Callithrix jacchus: one gene and its partner. The protein of the gene in region 2 purifies or fractionates together with the protein of the main gene of each other region. This does not show direct contact. Links are inferred from orthologs where the notes say so. Each region holds a gene or a part of one and is shown on either strand. Other genes may lie near its edges.

Region 1 (3,925 bases), on a different chromosome or scaffold from region 2:
AACATCTGTGCACTTCCGTGATGACACTAAGTGCATGGTATGGATTCCAGTTTCTTTTTAAGTTAATGAATGTTTTAATTTTAGGAATGATGTCTTTGTGTACCTTTTGTATAACCAAGATATTTAAATTTCTGGGGCTATTAATTGGGGCAGGCATGGTAGCTCACACCTGTAATCCCAGCACTTTGGGAGGCTGAGGTGGGCGGATCACGAGGTCCGGAGATCCAGACCATCTGGCTGAACAGTGAAACCCCCATCTCTACTAAAAATACAAAAAATTAGCCAGGCGTGGTGGCACGTGCCTGCAGTCCCAGCTACTCAGGAGGCTGAGGCAGGAGAATTGCTTGAACCCAGAAGGCGGAGGTCGTGGTGAGCCGAGATTGTGCCATTGCACTCCAGTCTGGGTAACAACAGCGAAACTCCGTCTCAAAGCAAACAAACAAACGAAAAAAAACTATTATCTGATACTCAGGGCCTTAGTCTTTTTGCAAGACAAAGCCTCATACCACACAAAAAAATCTATTGAAAATAATATTTAATAAGAAAACAATAAATAAAATTTAAAATGCTGTCAGCCAAAAGATAGGAAAAGTAAAAAATAAACTTTAGGTGTTCCTAATATCTTAAAAAGAAAGCCCTGATCAAAGAGAAGAGAAACAGAAATTCTAACAGCATGGTAAAGGGAGGGTAGAAAAAGAACAGGGCAAGTCACTAAAGTAATTGTCTTAGATAGTGAGATAATATAGAAGTGTCATAAATAGAAGATAGCAGATTGTTAATTACCAGCATACACCTAAAAGGTCTGATCTGTTAAGTGACAACTTTCGTCAAATTTGACTTAAGAAATATAAATACATGTTAACAAAAGATGAAAAAAATTGCTAAAAATTATCTTGCAAAGAATCACTAAAGAAAGCAAGTTTATGCTTGTGTAAATTTAAATATACCTTAAGCCCAAAGGTAACTTCAGATACCTTATAATGATAAAAGGTTCAACTAGGAAATTATAAGTTTTAGTTATAAATTTATCTAATTTTGCTACAAAGCATTATTGTGAGAAAAAAAGAAAAAATAATAAAATAAATGCATCTAATTTATCTAATGATATTATTATTTTATAGTGCTTCGTGGTACTATAATTATTAGTATATATTTCTCTTTATATACACGCACATGCACCGACATAACTACACACACATATATGAAATCTGTAATGATATGTTTGAACATAGTAAACATTTATCTAATAATACATAAAATTCTGAAATCAGCATTTTAAAATGTCACATTCCACTATACACATATATTTCTATGTGCGTACACGTTTGTATAAATGATTATATATACATATAATATACGTGTGTGAATATATATTATACATACACCTAATATATATGATTGTGAGAGGACTACAAGGAAAAACATAGAAGATCAACATACTTATGAAAATATGAAGACACCACATACCTGAATAACTGAAACTGGAAAAAGTTTTCCACTGTATGTGTACATTTGCTCTCATGTTTTTTTAAATTGGGATGATATCACATAATACAGCTCTATGCTCAGATGTGTTTTTTACTTAATATTCTTTCGTGATACTTTTTTCATGTCACTATCTTGAGAACCCACCACAGCTACTGAGTTTCCAACACTTCCTCTGGTAAAAATAACCAAAACCTTCTTCTAAATATCATTGAATGCCAATACATACTCAGAAAATTAGTTTTAAAATCTGCAATGGTGGCCGGGCACAGTGGCTCAAGCCTGTAATCCCATCACTTTGGGAGGCCGAGGTGGGTGGATCACGAGGTCAAGAGATTGAGACCATCCTGGTCAACATGGTGAAACCCCGTCTCAACTAAAAATACACAAAATTAGCTGGGCATGGTGGCACGTGCCTGTAATCCCAGCTACTCAGGAGGCTGAGGCAGGAGAATTGCCTGAACCCAGGAGGCGGAGGTTGTGGTGAGCCGAGATCGCGCCATTGCACTCCAGCCTGGGTAACAAGAGCGAAACTCCGTGTCCAAAAAAAAAAAAAAAAAAAATCTGCAATGGTTGGCCAGGCGCCGTGGCTCACTCCTGTAATCCTAGCATTTTGGAGGGCGGAGGTGGGTGAATCACCTGAGGTCAGGAGTTCAAGACCAGCCTGGCCATCATGGTGAAACCCCCATCTTAAAAAAAAAAAAAAAAATCTACAGTGGTCAAAATGCATTTTCTCTTGTTCAGTCCTCAGTTGTGGTGGCATAAAAGAAGCCTGTTATCTTCCTAAGTAAGTGAAGGATTTATATCAAGCAACTCAGTTTTCACTTTTCTGAAAACCCAACCCTATTCCCATCCTCCATGACCCTGAATAACCGATACTGATTGTCCCCTTGCGACTCTGGGGACTTCAAAGAAGTAACAAGACCTTATTTACAAAACTAGCAACAGTACTCACCTCACTGGAAATTTTTCAACAGTGGTCCAGATCTTGAGATTTTCAGAAATGCGGGAATCAATGCTTATTTTGTTCAAGCGAGGAGATAAATCAGTAAAGGTCCCAGAAACAGAACTGCAGGATGTTGTAATTTCCTGAAATGCTAAGAAAATGAAGTATTTGCAAAGATAACAAGAAAAAAGGGCCTTGGTTAAGTCGCTGAGTAATCTGACTAGTGCCGGCTCTCTGCTGCTCTGCTATTGCCCCAGAGAAAATGGAGTTAGGAAACAACATGGAAACTCCTCCCACTACTGTTTTTAGGTTTCGTTTCTGTTAGTCAGAGAAAAGGAACAGTTTCCTTTTGAAGAGGGCTGAAGTGTGTGGTTAGAGCAAATGGGGGATGAGAAATTACTTTCATGGGTACAATGAACATTTTTCCCGTGCTGTGTACGCTAAAAGCTCTGACAGAATTGCATTTGTATCTCATAAATGTATATAAATACAAATAAATCAGTATATATATATATATATATATGTATTTTTTTTAAGAAAATTTAACAGCTGAAAAGAGTTTCAACATTAGAACTTTCTTACCCAGCAGACTTACATGTGGGTCCTTAGGGACCTATATTCCCTTAAATGATGCTCAGATATAAGCGAAGCAGGTGGCTTCTCCCTCCTTTCCTGTGCAGAGTGGCAGTGGTAGGAGGAGATCTTGGTAGAAGTGACTATCACTACCAGTGCTTTACTGCATCTCCTGGATGGGGAAATGTCTGGTATAAAATTGCTATTTGTTTAAATATTACCTGAAGTATTCATCTAATTGTTAATAGTTGACACACCTGGGGCTTTCCAGATCAGGAAGTCGTTATGAATATGTAAATTGTTGCTCAAATTTATATAAAGGAGTTTAACACTAGCTGTCCTTTTGCCTATGACTAGGTTACTTTACCTCAATGATTAGATTTATGATTACTCATGTTTTCTGCATTATTCATGGGTAAACACAAGAGGATAGTAGGGCTCAGACCTTGACAGCAATGAAGCCTTGAAAATCCTGGAAAATGCACTGAACTTCTGGTAGCAAAGGGAGCCTGTTTAATCCTTTGCTCAGCAATGTGTTTTTCTCTGTAAAGGGCAGCGGGTGCTCTTTAGAGTGCTGTAACCCCAGGATGTCAAATAAACGGCATCATCTCCGGGCACGGTGGCTCAAGCTTATAATCCCAGCACTTTGGGAGGCCGAGGTGGGTGGATCACAAGGTCAAGAGATCAAGACCATCCTGGTCAACATGGTGAAACCCCGTCTCTACTAAAAATACAAAAAAATTTAGCTGGGTGTGGTGATGCGTGCCTGTAATCCCAGCTACTCTGGAGGCTGAGGCAGGAGAATTGCCTGAACCCAGGAGGCGGAGGTTGTGGTGAGCTGAGATCGCGCCATTGCACTCCATCCTGGGTAACAAGAGCGAAACTCCGTCTCAAAAAAAAAAAAAAATGGCATCATCTAGC
Region 2 (3,825 bases):
CTGAGGGGGGCACTAGTTCATCCACAGGTCCTATGGCTCACTTCTTTTCTTTCTTTTTTTTTTTTCTTTTTTTTTGTAACAGAGTCTTGCTCTGTTGCCAGGCTGGAGTGCAGTGGCATGATCTCTACTCACTACAATCTCCCCCTCCCGGGTTCCAGTGATCTTCTGCCTCAGCCTCCCCAGTAGCTGGGACTACAGGTGCGGGCCACCAGGCCTGGCTAATTTTTGTATTTTTAGTAGAGATGGGGTTTCACCATGTTGTCCAGGATGGTCTCCTTCTCTTGACCTCATGATCCATTCACTTTGGCCCCCCAAAGTGCTGGGATTACAAGCATAAGCCACCACACCCAGCCCCTGTGGCTCATTTCTGAGAAAACCGATTATGCAGTCCACAGTTCTGTGTTCATGGTGGGCTACAGATCTTCAGTTTAGGTGATGTTTAATATTAACTTGGTTCTTCCACAATATGATGGTGGGAAATAACTTCAAAAGAAGTTCTAAAAATGCACTGAGTTCAATTGTAATAATTTTAAGCCTTGAGTTTGTTTTCCATTAATCACTTACTATTTTTTAACAAGTCAATTAAGATGCACTTTTATCCTGACCAAGCTCCCAAATGACTTGAGCTCATTTCTCAAACAGTCTTTAAAAGTCATACAGGATTGGTTTGGTAAAGAAAGCTTTTTTTTTTTTTTGAGATGAAGTCTCGCTCTGTCGCCTAGGCTGGGGTGCAGTGGCACGATCTCCACTCACTGAAACCTGTGCCTGCTGCGTTCCAGAGATTCTCTTGCCTCAGCCTCCTGAGTAGCTGGGACTTCAGGTACCTGGCCACCACGCCTGGCTAATTTTTATATTTTTAGTAGAGATGGGGTTTCACCATGTTGGTCAGGCTGGTCTCAAACTCTTGACCTCAAGTGATCCGCCCACCTTGCCCTCCCAAAGTGCTGGGATTACAGGCATGAGCCACCATGCCTGGCCAGAAAACAATCAATACTTTTTCACTATTGTGACTGTCAGTATTTAGAAAGGCCTGCAAATAACTGTTCTTATTTTCCCAACTCACAGGAGCCAACACGTCGTGTCTCAAGATCCAGCTTCTCTTCTAACCCTGGTGAGTAGCGGTTGGGTTTTGTTCTGGAATCCTGAAAAATCAGGTCTTTGTGAAGCATAATGGCAAAGAAAAGGCAACGAGAATGCAAGTGCTAAACATCTAGCCTGTCAGAAGTGGAGGAGGTGTCATTTAACATGTCAACAACAGGCAGATGCCTAACTCTTTCCCTTGGCGACTGATGGGGTGCTGTGCCTAGGAGAGACTCTAGGTATGAGAAAACCTAGAGCTGTTCAGCTGCCAGCTCAGGTCTCAGTGGTTGGATAGCATGTGATATTGCATACTGGTTATTGGCGCTAATGTGATTTATTTATTTGTATTATAATACTAATATCTTGAGACTTGCAAGTTTTAGACATTAAATAATCTGTAGGCTAAGTAAAAGCTAGCTTATAAGACAATCTGAAACGATTGAAATAATTGAATTCCACAAATGTTAACCATTGAGAAAATGTTGAACTTCTGTTTCTTATTTCATAATTCATTGCCAAGATGGGAAAGCTGCAGATTCCAAGGCGTATTTAAAAATCACTGAAGGAAAAGTTTCAGGAAGTCCTCAGGTACATACCAAGACTGTCAAAGAAGACAGTACTGCGGATGACTCAGAAGGCAGTGTTGCCCAGGAAACACCTGATGGTCACTCCTCAGAACATGCTGGACATAATGGCAGAAATGCAGCTCATCGCATTTCTGGGGATTTTAGAGAAATTTCCAGGGTAAAATTAATGAGCCATTGTGGAGAACTGAAGTCTCTTTCCACCACACAGTGTCTTGACGATAGCCAAAAAAATGAATCTCCCTTTAGGAAGCTATATCAGTCAATGAAGAAAGAGCTGGGTATAAAATCACAAAAAGAAAATGTGCCACAGTATTGTAGAAAATCGGGATTACAAACTGATTACACAGCAGAAAAAGAAAGTGCTGATGTTTTACAGCAGGAGACACAACTGTTGGTCTCATGTATGTCAAGACCGAAATCTGGTGGAGGCAGCCACGCCATGGCAGAGCCTGCTTCACCTGAGCGAGAGCTTGCCCAGGCCAAGGGCAAGGGAAGAGATGTGGAGTCTGTTCAGACTCCCAGCAAGGTGGTGGGTGCCAGCTTTCCTCTCTATGAGCCGGCTCAAATGAAGACTCCTGAACAATATCCACGGCAACAAAATTCTCCACAAAAACATAAGAACAAAGACCTGTATACTATTGGTAGAAGAGAATCTGTGAATCTGGGTAAAAACAAAGGCTTCAAGGCTGGCGATAAAACTCTTACTCCCAGGAAGCTTTCAGCTAGAAATCGAACACCAGCTAAGGTTGAAGATGCAGCCGACTCTGCCGCTAAACCAGGAAATCTCTCTTCCAAAACCAGAGGAAGTATTCCTATAGATGTGGAAGTTCTGTCTACAGAAGCCGAAATTCAAAATGACCCCCTTTTAACTGTGTGGCTCACTGAAGTTGAAAGAAAAATCCAAAAGGATTCCCTCCATGAGCCTGAGAAAGTGGGTGTCACAACTGGACAGATGTGCCCTGAGTTACCTGGTCTTAGTGCAGTTGATATCAGCAACTTTGGTGATTCCCTTAGTAAGTTTATTTCATTGTAAATTTATTTTTTCTAAAAGATGAACACCTTCTGTTTAGCCATGAATCGGTGAGACCTTGATTCATTCAGTAGTGACTGGCGTTGTGGAAGAGAGTGTAAGCACTTATGGCACAGGGATAGGACAGACATGCGCACTGTTTTCCCTGATAGCTTAGTACCGAAGGCCTAGGTAATTACAACAAGGAATGACAGGAGGCGGAGGTTGTCAGGGAAGCAGGAAGCAGGGGTTATTGAAGGAGGTAGGGTGGCCCCCGAGATATTCCATTCTCCTCCATCTGTCACAAAACAGAAAAGAGAATACTCATAATTGCTTTTCACATGGAGTTGAATTCTGAACTACAATCAACTGTGTCATATGAGTTTGGTCATTTGGAATAAATCACTGGAGATCATTGAATATAGTGGTAGTTCTCAAGTGTTTATACTGTTTTCAGAGTATCCTGCAAACGATTTACTGTAAACACTGGACTCTACCCATGAGTTTATATGCCAGGCAAATTTCTAAATGCTTTGCAGCATCAACACTTGATTCCTGGTGCAGTAGGAGTGCTCATGGCTAGGTTTTCTCTTTAGATCTATGTCACAGATGAGGAAACTGACAATCCAAGACCACCCAGTGAGCGGCAGAGATATGACCTTGATAGCAGGTGTGGTAGCTCCTTGGGAGCTTCCTATACTCCTTGGGATTGGCTTTTAGAAGAAAAGTTGTCCAGGCCATGGATGCAGTATTCGTACTATCAGGCTCTGTTTCTGCAGGTGGCCCATAGTGGTGGGGCATGAGGCTATCGATAAAATAAGGCCTGTAACATCAGTCTTAGTGTTCCACCACGCCTCATAAAGGGGAAGCATCGCTTAGACAAGGAATTTATGTTAGCTGCTGGCTCAGGAAGATGTATAATTGAGGCTGGACTCCTGTGAATTGACTCAGAACCACCTGGAGGAGTTTTCACAGCTCGTGTATTCTGGTCACTGGGTGAAGCCCAAGCTCATGTCTTTAGAGAGCTCCCTCCGGCTGTCATCCCCCTAATCCAGGGTGAAAGCTACTGCTTCATGCTCCTCTTTCATGTGTCCACACATAATGCTTGATCGTTTTAAAGAACGCCTCTGTACTGTCCAGTGGGAACTG

The links.
Region 1: the proteins of MKI67 (region 2) and IFI16 purify together in Homo sapiens (affinity purification with mass spectrometry; 3 studies listed by BioGRID and IntAct, with this or other methods). This does not show direct contact. The link is inferred for Callithrix jacchus from reciprocal best matches to the Homo sapiens genes MKI67 and IFI16.

What each region holds. Positions count from the first base shown.
Region 1 is NC_133519.1:19,004,457-19,008,381, reverse strand, and holds the start of IFI16 (gamma-interferon-inducible protein 16), read right to left. Parts: upstream 2,676-3,925; 5' UTR 2,441-2,675; intron 1-2,440.
Region 2 is NC_133513.1:121,413,622-121,417,446, reverse strand, and holds part of MKI67 (proliferation marker protein Ki-67), read left to right. Parts: intron 1-1,065; coding exon 1,066-1,111; intron 1,112-1,600; coding exon 1,601-2,680; intron 2,681-3,825. UniProt on the Homo sapiens protein: Protein that associates with the surface of mitotic chromosomes and acts both as a chromosome repellent during early mitosis and chromosome attractant during late mitosis.